3 linked regions of the Oryza sativa Japonica Group genome follow. The main gene of each other region encodes a partner of the protein of the gene in region 3 in a complex. Links are inferred from orthologs where the notes say so. Each region holds a gene or a part of one and is shown on either strand. Other genes may lie near its edges.

Region 1 (2,292 bases), on a different chromosome or scaffold from region 3:
CTTTGTTTGAATTTTAGAACTTTGAATTTTTTACCCTAGAAAAAAAAAAGAAAAACCTAACCCTTTGAATCTTTGGTATCCTTCAAATCTTCGGTATCCTTCGAGTCTTCGGTACGCTTCGAATCCTTATGGGGAAGTCTATAAATTATACGCCCCTTGCTTGAATCATAACGACTTACTTCAATTTTGACCCTATCCCCCATCAGTATTCGTATAGAACTAGACCGGATCTTTCCTGAAATATAGCCCAGGATGATGGTGTCATTCTCTAGGCGAACGCGGAACATTCCGTTGGGTAGGGCTTCCATAACTAAACCCTCGAAAGTAATTTTTGCTTCTCTCGGGTTTTTTTTTTCTCTCCTATTTTTCTTTTCTGTCATATTTTTTTTTCTCCTATTTTTCTTTTTTTATTTTCAAATAAAAAAACGTTGTATTTTTGTTTGAAAAATAGGAAGTTCAAGATAGAATTTGGGTACTATAACTATAGGTGGGGCGATTACCGCTATAGGCGGGCGATTACCATATATAACATAAGACTTCTCCCCCAATTCTGTTTAGTCGAGCTTCTCGATCTGTCATTATACCTCGAGAAGTAGAAAGAATAGCAATTCCCATTCCGCCCAAAACCTTAGGAATTCCTTGATAGTTGGCATAAATTCGTAAGCCAGGTCGGCTGATACGCTTTAAAAAGGTTCTAGTTCTATATATTCCCTTTCTAGTCTTTCTCTTTTGATGTCGCAAAGTTGAAACCAAGAAATATCTGTTACTTTCCTGATGTTTCCGAACACTTTCAATAAAACCCTCTCGTAGAAGTATTTTAACAATGTTTTCGGTAATATTTGTAGATACTACCCGAACAGTTCCTTTTTTATTCATGTCCGCGTTTCTTATAGAGGTTAGTAAATCAGCAATAGTGTCCTTGCCCATAAGACTCTAATTCTAGGTTCCTCCTAATTTTTCTATAATCAACATGTTCTCTTTTTTCTTTTCGTTTTGGATTCTAAAGCATATACGTGAAACACAATCTACTAATTTTTTATTTGATCTATATCTTGTCTACTAGTATTTATAATACTTCAGGAGCTAATGAAACTATTTTAGTAAAATTCAATTCTCTCAATTCCTCGGCGATCGCGCCAAAAACGCGAGTTCCTTTTGGATTTCCTTTTTGATCAATGATAACCGCTGCATTGTCGTCATAGCGTATTATTATACCGTCTTCGCATTTGAACTCTTTACATGTACGTACAATTACAGCTCGAATTACTTCGGATCTTTCTAGAGGCATTTGGGGCACTGCGTCTTTGATTACAGCAACAATAACATCACCAATACGAGCATATCGCTGATTACTAGCAGCTCCTATGACTCGAATACACATCAATTTTCGAGCTCCACTGTTATCTGCTACATTTAAAAGGGTCTGAGGTTGAATCATATTATTTTGATTTCAATTTGTTATTTCAATGCAAAAGGATGAAAGAAATATTGTCTTTCCAGAAAGAAGAACCTGGTTTTTTATTTTCAATACTACTTTTTTTGGGGGGTTATATTTCTAACCGAAGAAATTGACTTCGTATGGGCATTTTGCTGGCAGCTATGGAAATAGCTCGTCTAGCTACAGTTTCGGATACTCCGCCCATTTCATAAAGTATTCGACCTGGTTTAACAACGGCTACCCAATATTCGGGGGATCCCTTTCCCGAACCCATACGTGTTTCGGTCGGTCTTATTGTAACCGGTTTGTCGGGAAATATACGTACCCAGATTTTTCCACCACGACGTGCATATCGTGTCATTGCTCTTCGTCCTGCTTCTATCTGCCTCGCCGTAATCCAAGTGGGTTCAAGTGCTTGAAGAGCATATCTACCAAAACAAATACAATTGCCTCGGTAGGATTTTCCCTTCATTCTTCCTCTATGTTGTTTACGAAATCTGGTTCTTTTGGGGTTATAGTCGATGGTTCTCTCTTAGTTCCATCTCTACTGCAAAACTGGACATGAGAGTTTCTTCTCATCCAGCTCCTCGCGAATCAAATGAGAAAGTGTGCCAAATTTCTCTAATTCCACAATATTCTAAAATATTACGGATAGATACACATTAATAGGAAAGGTTAGGGTTTTTAATATTGAATTTATTAAAATACTAAAATATATAGTCAAGAAAGAGGATCTAGAATATATCTAGATGTGTATGTTTATTTATCTATATTCTATATTTAATGTAATTCTTTTTTTTTTTTTTTTTAATCTCCTTTTTTTATTTTACTCTTATTGAATCGCGGTAAAGTAT
Region 2 (3,994 bases), on a different chromosome or scaffold from region 3:
TGGTTGATTTGGACAACAAAGTGAACAAGCCAAGATTGAGCCGAGCAGCTCTCTCCAGAAAGTTCCATGTTCCAACCACACGCATGGTAATCATGGTAATTGGTAACTCAAGTTTAAATCATCTCTTCACAAAAAACCAAAATCTCGACTGGTGTCCGCTGCGGGAAATTTAACTATTTGCCACTCTTGTGACATGGCAATTAACGATTTGCCACACCCTGCCAATAACATGTGGGCCCTCATGTGTCTATGACATGTGGGTCTAGTAGCAAATCGTTAAGCACCATTCGTAAGAGTGGCAAATAGTTAAAAGCCCCGTCTGCTGCTATCAGCAAGGCAGGTTCCTAATATTATTATTCAGCTACACTGATACTCCTCTTTCAGCTTGTAAAGTTAACAAGGCATTAGATCTGACGGTGGCATGTGGAACAAATGGACAGAAAACTGGCGATACGTTAATTCATCAGGAACAGGTCGGTCAAGCATAGATATGACAACAGAAGAGAGACAGCAAGATGATGGACTGAAAAACATAGTATAACCTTAATTTAGCATCAGTTCATGTAAGACAGGTGACAAATATAACTTTTTCAGTGACAGATCACAACCCGTGATTCATCTATGACGACACCAACATAAAATCTCATAATACCAGACAAGAGCGTGGTCAAGCAGAACACAAAAAATAAACAAGAGGCAAAGAACCAAAGGTAAATACATGGCAATGTGTCTTATTCCTCCTGGGAAGCAGGCGACTTCTTCTTCGCAACAGAAGCCCTCCTTCCCTTCAGCGTCCTGCAATTGTTCTTCGTCCTCTGTCCACGAACTGGCAGCCCTAGCTTGTGGCGGATGCCCCTGTAACACCTAATCTCCTTCAACCTCTCAATCGCCACACGATTAAACCGTTTCTGTAAAGCATGGCAAACACATCAGAACTCTATTTTAGCAACACAACATAAATCCACGATGACAGAAATGGGAAAAGAACTACAGAGTCTTTTTTTTTTCAGAACGATCAGTTTAAGGGTACCAAATTTCAAGGAATCTTCAACATGCTACTCCCTCCGTTTCACAATGTAAGTCATTCTAACATTTACCACATTCATATTGATGCTAATGAATCTAGACATATATATCTATCTAGATTTATTAGTATCAATATGAATGTGGGAAATGCTAGAATGACTTATATTGTGAAACGGAGGAAGTACCAAAGTAGGGTAACCATACTAATCACCAAAATTACAGAAAAAAAGTTAAGTGATGAATTAGCAAGGGATAGGGCCATTACAAGGTCTCCCTCAATCATGTACTTGGTAACCTCCTTACGGAGAGTGATGACTTCCTCCTCGGAGAGGTCCTTTGTGACCTTGTTGTCAAAATTGAGGTCCAAGAGGATCTGACGGGAGCGTGACCGCCCAATGCCATGGATGTACTGCAGTGAGTACTCTACCCTCTTGTGGTTCGGGATCTCCACTCCACCAATACGAATGCACTCGATCCGCAGGCCACCATGACCAATACCCCCTTTCTGTCCAGTACCCAATAATAAAAAAAAAAGAATCAAAACCACAACACAGTTAAAAGCACAGGCCTACAAATGACTGGGCAAGTAAAGATAATGGGGTGGGGAAATTTTTTCTTTAAACTTGGTCAAACCTAAAGAACTTTGACTACTTATAGTATGAAACTGAGGGAGTACTAACAAGGAATTACGATTCTTTTTACATCCTATATGCATAATTAACCTTCTTTGCTATTCCTAGTCCCTACATGAATTACATATACACTCTGCTGTCCAAAGAAATACTACTTCGTAACACTATCCATTCTTCCAACATGATATGTGCTAGGGGCAGAGATTCAAACTCATAAGCATACAAGCATATAAATACTAGTTCCTCACAGATGCCAATAATTCTAAAATTGCACAGGAACACTGTTCTTCCAACATCACGGAAAAAAAACTACTGAATTGCACATACTCAAAATTAGTACTGTAGTACACAAAGCACGGCCACTAGCCTCCCCAACCTCCAAGATGGCAAAGATAACAAAACGATCCCAGGGGTTGAGTTGCAATAAGTGATACGGATGTACGATGCGTCATGCGTGAATCACATATCAATCGCACAGAACCAAGGAACAGGACGAGCGAGCAAATGGCCGAACAAGAAGTGGGCGCGGAGGGGGGAGGCGGGGGGAGGGGTGGCTTTGCTTCTCACCTTGGGAACGGGGAAGGAGACGGAGGAGCTGCGGCCTCGGGCGGAGAGGGGCAGGGAGGAGGTGGCGATGGGGACGGAGACCATCGAGAGGGTCGCCATTTCTGCGCTCCCGACGAGGGACGGAGGTGCGTGCGCTTCTCTCCCGGAGCTCTCGGTGCTGTCTCGGATAGAACCCAACGGGAAGGAAGCCGATAAGGTAGCCGCACCTGTAGGCTACCACTGTATCGGCGACTTCTTGGGTTGGGCCTTGCAGGGTACGGCCCAAACAGGTCAAGTCGCTAGTTTACTCCTTCTGTTAAAAAAAGAAAAAGAAAAAAGAACAAGCTAGGAGTACTCCATATCTAGATAACGCCGTAGTTGCAATTTTTTTCTTCAAACTTCCAACTTTTACATCACATCAAAACTTTCCTACACACATAAACTTCCAACTTTTCTGTCACATCGTTCTAATTTCAATCAAGCTTCCAATTTTAGCGTGAACTAAACACACCCTAAGTTAGTACTAGGCTATTAAGTTAGTACTAGGCTGTGTTCTTTTCCCACTTTTTCCAACACATCTCCCTTGTGTTCTGCATGCACGCTTTTCAAACGGTTAAACGATGTGTTTTTTTAAAGATTTCTACACAAAAGTTGCTTTTAAAAAATCATTTTTCAAAAACAATTAATAAATACTTAATTAATCATAAGAAAATGCTTCGCTCCGTTTTACGTGCGCGAGAGGTGAGTTCCTCCCGAACACAGTCTTAAGTTATGTTCCTGACTTTCTTTTTTTTTAAAGCTTTTTTAAGTTATGTTCCTGACTTTCTTTTTTTTAAGCTTTTTTTTAAGATGGAGGGAGTAAACACGAAAGAAAATATTCTCCTCTCTCTAGGAAAAAAAGAAGAATATGTTGTAGCCTTTAGGATCAGCTATGCTGCATAAGCTTCTTCTGAATATAAATTTCTGGGGTTTTTGTGGGAGGATAAAGAACTGCATAAGCTTCCTCTGAATATAAATTTCTGGGGTTTTTGTGGGAGGATAAAGAATTTCAGCACGTTTATAATCCTAGATGTAACAGTTTAGGTACTACTAAATGTAAGTTTAATTCGTATTGCATTTTGTATTAGGATAATCTGTGGGGAACGTTCTGAATATCATCTTGCAGAAATGTCTCAAGTGAAAATAAAATAAATGGAGATAATAGGACAATTGGTGGCAAATAACACATCATTTCAAAACGACGGATAAGGTTGCCCATCCAATTGGGAGCAGTAAGATTTACTGTAAAACCACAACAACCAGATAGTTCCACCGCATCGTTAATTGGGACGTGGGGATTTATAAGAACATTGGGGCAACAGATGCAACAGCTTAGCGTCATCTATTATTGAGGAAAACATTCATCATGTTACTACTACATCTCTACAGCTAAATTGAATAGGTATACAATATCAACAAAGAAAGGGAAAAAAAACTAATACACTTCTGGAGTGCTCTACTAATACACTGTTTAGATGCTTTTTAGTGGCATCATTCGTATATTCTCTTCCTTTTCAGAATCGTTGGAGCAACAGCAACAGTTCCAATGAGGAATAGAATTACTAGTGTTTTTGAGTCATACAGTTCCCTAAGTGATCTTAGATCGCCTAGTGCCCTACCAGCCTGCAAGACAGCAGTAAGAATGGTGATGAGTAGATAAAATGGTATCACTGGAAACAGATAATACAATCAGATCAACCACCAAACCCGTCCACAACTAAGTAAATCCTGAAGTCAACGGAGAAGACGTG
Region 3 (3,483 bases):
ACCTAGGAGGTCCAACTCCAACCCAACGCCTCCATGTGCCTTGCCCCTCCTCCCCCCTTGGCCGAGATGATGATAAGCTGCTACGCCTTGCTCAGTTGCTCCCATGCCTTTTGAACGCTTTTGAGACCGTGACCAAGCTGGCGCGGCGCTGCATGCGGCGTGAGAACGAGCGTCGCAGCACGACGCGCGGGCACCACGACGACTCCACGAGTCCACGAGCGTTTTCACGCTCGTTTCGCACAGGCTCACGCGTTGCCGCAGCCCGTTTTGCAGAGGCCTACGCGTGGACGGCCTAGGCTCGTGGTGCGCGGAGCGGGCCGGGCTTTTTCAGGGCATCACCGGTGTTAGTTAATCGCAGTAGAAGGGGTATATGCCCCCGTGACCCCAAATCTCTTCGAAAGAAAAGAAATTCCCCTTTTTCTTCAAGTTCAAAATATCGAGTTACATTTATTTAACTGGATCATGGTATAGTAGTATCAAGAGGTATTAGCAATCTTCCCTGCGGATGATGGAGCCCAAATCGTTTACCTTACAGAGATCAATCACAATTCATTTCCATAAACAAAACCGTATCCGAAAACAGTTTGAATCGATCTACAGGGTCATGTAACAACAAAGATCCGTGTAACCAAAGCAAGAAAAAAAGAAACAAGGTTCTCAAGGATGGGAGAATTGAGATATCCTCTTAGGTTGACAAGCTGCCACCACCCTGTTGCCAAAGGTTGATGATATCAGTGGCCTGATTCAGAAGGATGATCATCTGTTTCTGAGAGATCCACTCTTTCTCCTCCAGCTTTGCTCTTAGCTCCTCCCAGGCATCTTTCCGTGGCCAGAAGTAGTATGGGCTTAACGGAATGCTGCCATAGCCGGGAACCAACTGGTCGAGGGCTATGCCAATGTTCTTCTCCATCCATATGAACTTCAGAACAAGCATTGGATCCTGCCTTTCAGGCACCTTAACCTTGTACTGCGATACAAAATCAATTCGTTTCAAATCTCATAATGCTAATACTGATTTTGCATATCTGAGTAAAATAAATTGTGCAGTTTTAACACAGCTCAAGTCGTAGTAAAATAAATTGCAACAACTACTGTACGTGTTCCATTGACAACTTCATTTCTCTACAAAAGGCCCCATTTTTCAACTGTGAGGGTAACTCCCATATAATCAAAACTAATCCACTTTTAGTGTACATCTCTGAAATCTGATATAGTGATGAAAAAGGAACTTATTGTGCCTGTTAATGTTGTTACATAATCACGTAAATAGCTGAATGAAAAAAAACTCCTTTCATGACCAAAACCTGTCAATGCTACAGTTTGTTCAATAGTTCAGTTCTTGCTTACACATACAACCAAAAATGGCACACGCTCAAGTTTGTGGACATGCTTTCATGTGCTCTTCGCCTCTTCATCACTAGCATACACCTTTTATCTGCAGAAGTGCAAAACTGCACCAAAAGGACAGCCCGAGTGCCCAAACATGCTCAACTAGACTAGAACTTCTCTAATTTACTCTACTTGTGACTTCTCTTAAGCTTTCAGCTGTGCATTGTGTCTAAAGATTTACTCTACTCGTGAATTCACCCAAATGTACACCTCGTACTGTATTTCACCTATGAGCTCAAGTAATCAGTTCGGTAACCAAAATTGATTCAAGAAAAATCAAATTCATGCGAAACCAAATGTGATTGAACTCCATCCTCTTCAAAAAACAACACTTCCTTCTGAAATTGAGCTCGACTCGGTAAAAAAAAAAACCCCGTAATTTCAGTCACTGGCATGGTTTGGAGCGGCTACTAGCCCATTACCTCCTGCGCTTCCTCGCCGGCGCTCGCATCCCCACCTCCGACTTGCTTCTCCTCTTCTCCCTCCTCCGCTTCGACGGCGCCAGAAGCGGCGGCGGCGGCGAGGCCACGGAGCGAGCGAAGGGGAAGCCTCCTGCTGCCGAGGTGGACGAGGCGTGGAGTGGAGGAGGAGGAGGTGGTGCAGGGGGAGGCGGCGGAAAGCTTGGGCCGGGAGATGCGGGCGCGCGAGGCGAGGGCCGGCGTGGCGGCGGGGTGGACGGACATCGCCAGCATCGTGTCCGAGTCCGAGGCTCCTGTGCGGATAAGAGGAGGAAGACGATGGTGCGGGGCTGCCTCCTCTTATCTTTACCCTTAATAATCCCCTTCTCGTCAGCTATTAGATGTGGGCTAGAAAGTTATGGTAAAGCCCAATATGGCCCAGCACAAAACGGCCCGGCCCAGATCCAATCTAAGTAAAAAGCTCACAGCTCAATCGTCTCGGTTATTCGAGAATAAACGAAATGGCATATTTGTAAATAAAAAATAATTTGTGAATAAATCTTTTATATATATATTTTTAACGATCTAAAAGCAAAGACTGAAAAATAAACCTTCGATAAAAAAAATAAAATCAACCCCAAATTTAAAGGTAAAAATTTAAATTTTGACTGATAAACATAAGTATAAGCGAAAAGATGAGGCCGTCCGTTTGCCTTCAGCAGGGTTTGCAAAACCGTCTGTAACCGTGCGATTACCGCGCTTACCGTGGGGTACGGTAAAAGGGAAACCGCGGTAACCCCCTTAAATTCAAATAAATTTAAAAAATAATTTTAAATTTTGATAAATTTTACACGGTTACCGTGTGGTAACCCCGGTCCGGTGGTTTGGGAAACCCTGGCCTTCAGTAGTGCTAGTGCCCAGTTGCCAACCGCTTGGGCGTAGTAAAAACTGATAGTGGAATGAAATGAACCGGGTACAAAGTACTGAAATGATCGTAAGTTTTGAAAAAAAACAAGCAGGAGTAGTAACTTTGCAAGTAAGGATGCTACATTCTCTGATAGTAGTTTCAGTGTTTTACACATTCTATAAGAACACCGAACAAAACAAGCATCGAATTTCAAATGTCGATACAGCCTTGAACAGTTGAAGTTCTTGCCCACAAGTTTAATCGAAAGCATTGTCAGGTTAACCCAAGAACGTGATTAATAATTACTAACATTAATATTAGTCCCATCTTATTCGACAATCATTGCTAAACTATTTACTGTGTCATGAGATCGAATCAAGTTTGATGCCGGCGAGGTTTTCTCCGCTCAGAAGTCCGGCGCCGGCGAGTACGCGTGGGAGGCGGGCACAACCACGGCCGTCGACATAGGTGCCGACGAGGAGTTCACCAGGTTCAGTATGCTGTTCCAGTAGTTCTTCTCCTCCTCGGTCTCCTGGAACTCGCCGTCGGCTTCCGCGTCTCTCCCCGCCGGCCTCGGGATCTGGTTCAAGGAGCCTTCGAGGAGTAGGCCCGTGAACCCCGCTCCGGCGCCGGGGAAGCCCACGTCGGCGGCGTCGACGTCGCCCCAGTGCTGGTCCTTGCACGCCTCGTCGTACGCCTGCATGGGCTGCATGGCGGCGCGCGCGGCCGCCGCGGCGGCGGCGCCGTGCGCCTCCAGCACGGTGGCGAGCACCGCGCTCTCCGAGAAGC

Evidence for each region. The genes of interacting proteins can lie anywhere in the genome.
Region 1: small ribosomal subunit protein cS23 (region 3) and rps8 share a complex: the UniProt entries of both Arabidopsis thaliana proteins name them as parts of the 30S ribosomal subunit. The link is inferred for Oryza sativa Japonica Group from reciprocal best matches to the Arabidopsis thaliana genes PSRP3/1 and rps8.
Region 2: small ribosomal subunit protein cS23 (region 3) and small ribosomal subunit protein uS13c share a complex: the UniProt entries of both Arabidopsis thaliana proteins name them as parts of the 30S ribosomal subunit. The link is inferred for Oryza sativa Japonica Group from reciprocal best matches to the Arabidopsis thaliana genes PSRP3/1 and EMB3137.

The regions. Positions count from the first base shown.
Region 1 is NC_001320.1:76,182-78,473, forward strand, and holds rps8 (ribosomal protein S8), read right to left. Parts: upstream 928-2,292; coding exon 517-927; downstream 1-516. Other genes in the region: infA (translation initiation factor 1), read right to left, coding at 57-380; rpl14 (ribosomal protein L14), read right to left, coding at 1,067-1,438; rpl16 (ribosomal protein L16), read right to left, coding at 1,548-1,949. UniProt on the Arabidopsis thaliana protein: One of the primary rRNA binding proteins, it binds directly to 16S rRNA central domain where it helps coordinate assembly of the platform of the 30S subunit.
Region 2 is NC_089037.1:29,173,474-29,177,467, reverse strand, and holds small ribosomal subunit protein uS13c, read right to left. Parts: upstream 2,419-3,994; 5' UTR 2,325-2,418; coding exon 2,226-2,324; intron 1,532-2,225; coding exon 1,292-1,531; intron 909-1,291; coding exon 732-908; 3' UTR 517-731; downstream 1-516. Other genes in the region: uncharacterized membrane protein At4g09580, read right to left, coding at 3,735-3,866. UniProt on the Arabidopsis thaliana protein: Located at the top of the head of the 30S subunit, it contacts several helices of the 16S rRNA.
Region 3 is NC_089038.1:23,520,228-23,523,710, reverse strand, and holds small ribosomal subunit protein cS23, read right to left. Parts: upstream 2,134-3,483; 5' UTR 2,082-2,133; coding exon 1,812-2,081; intron 968-1,811; coding exon 686-967; 3' UTR 524-685; downstream 1-523. Other genes in the region: transcription factor MYB106, read right to left, coding at 3,101-3,483. UniProt on the Arabidopsis thaliana protein: Component of the chloroplast ribosome (chloro-ribosome), a dedicated translation machinery responsible for the synthesis of chloroplast genome-encoded proteins, including proteins of the transcription and translation machinery and components of the photosynthetic apparatus.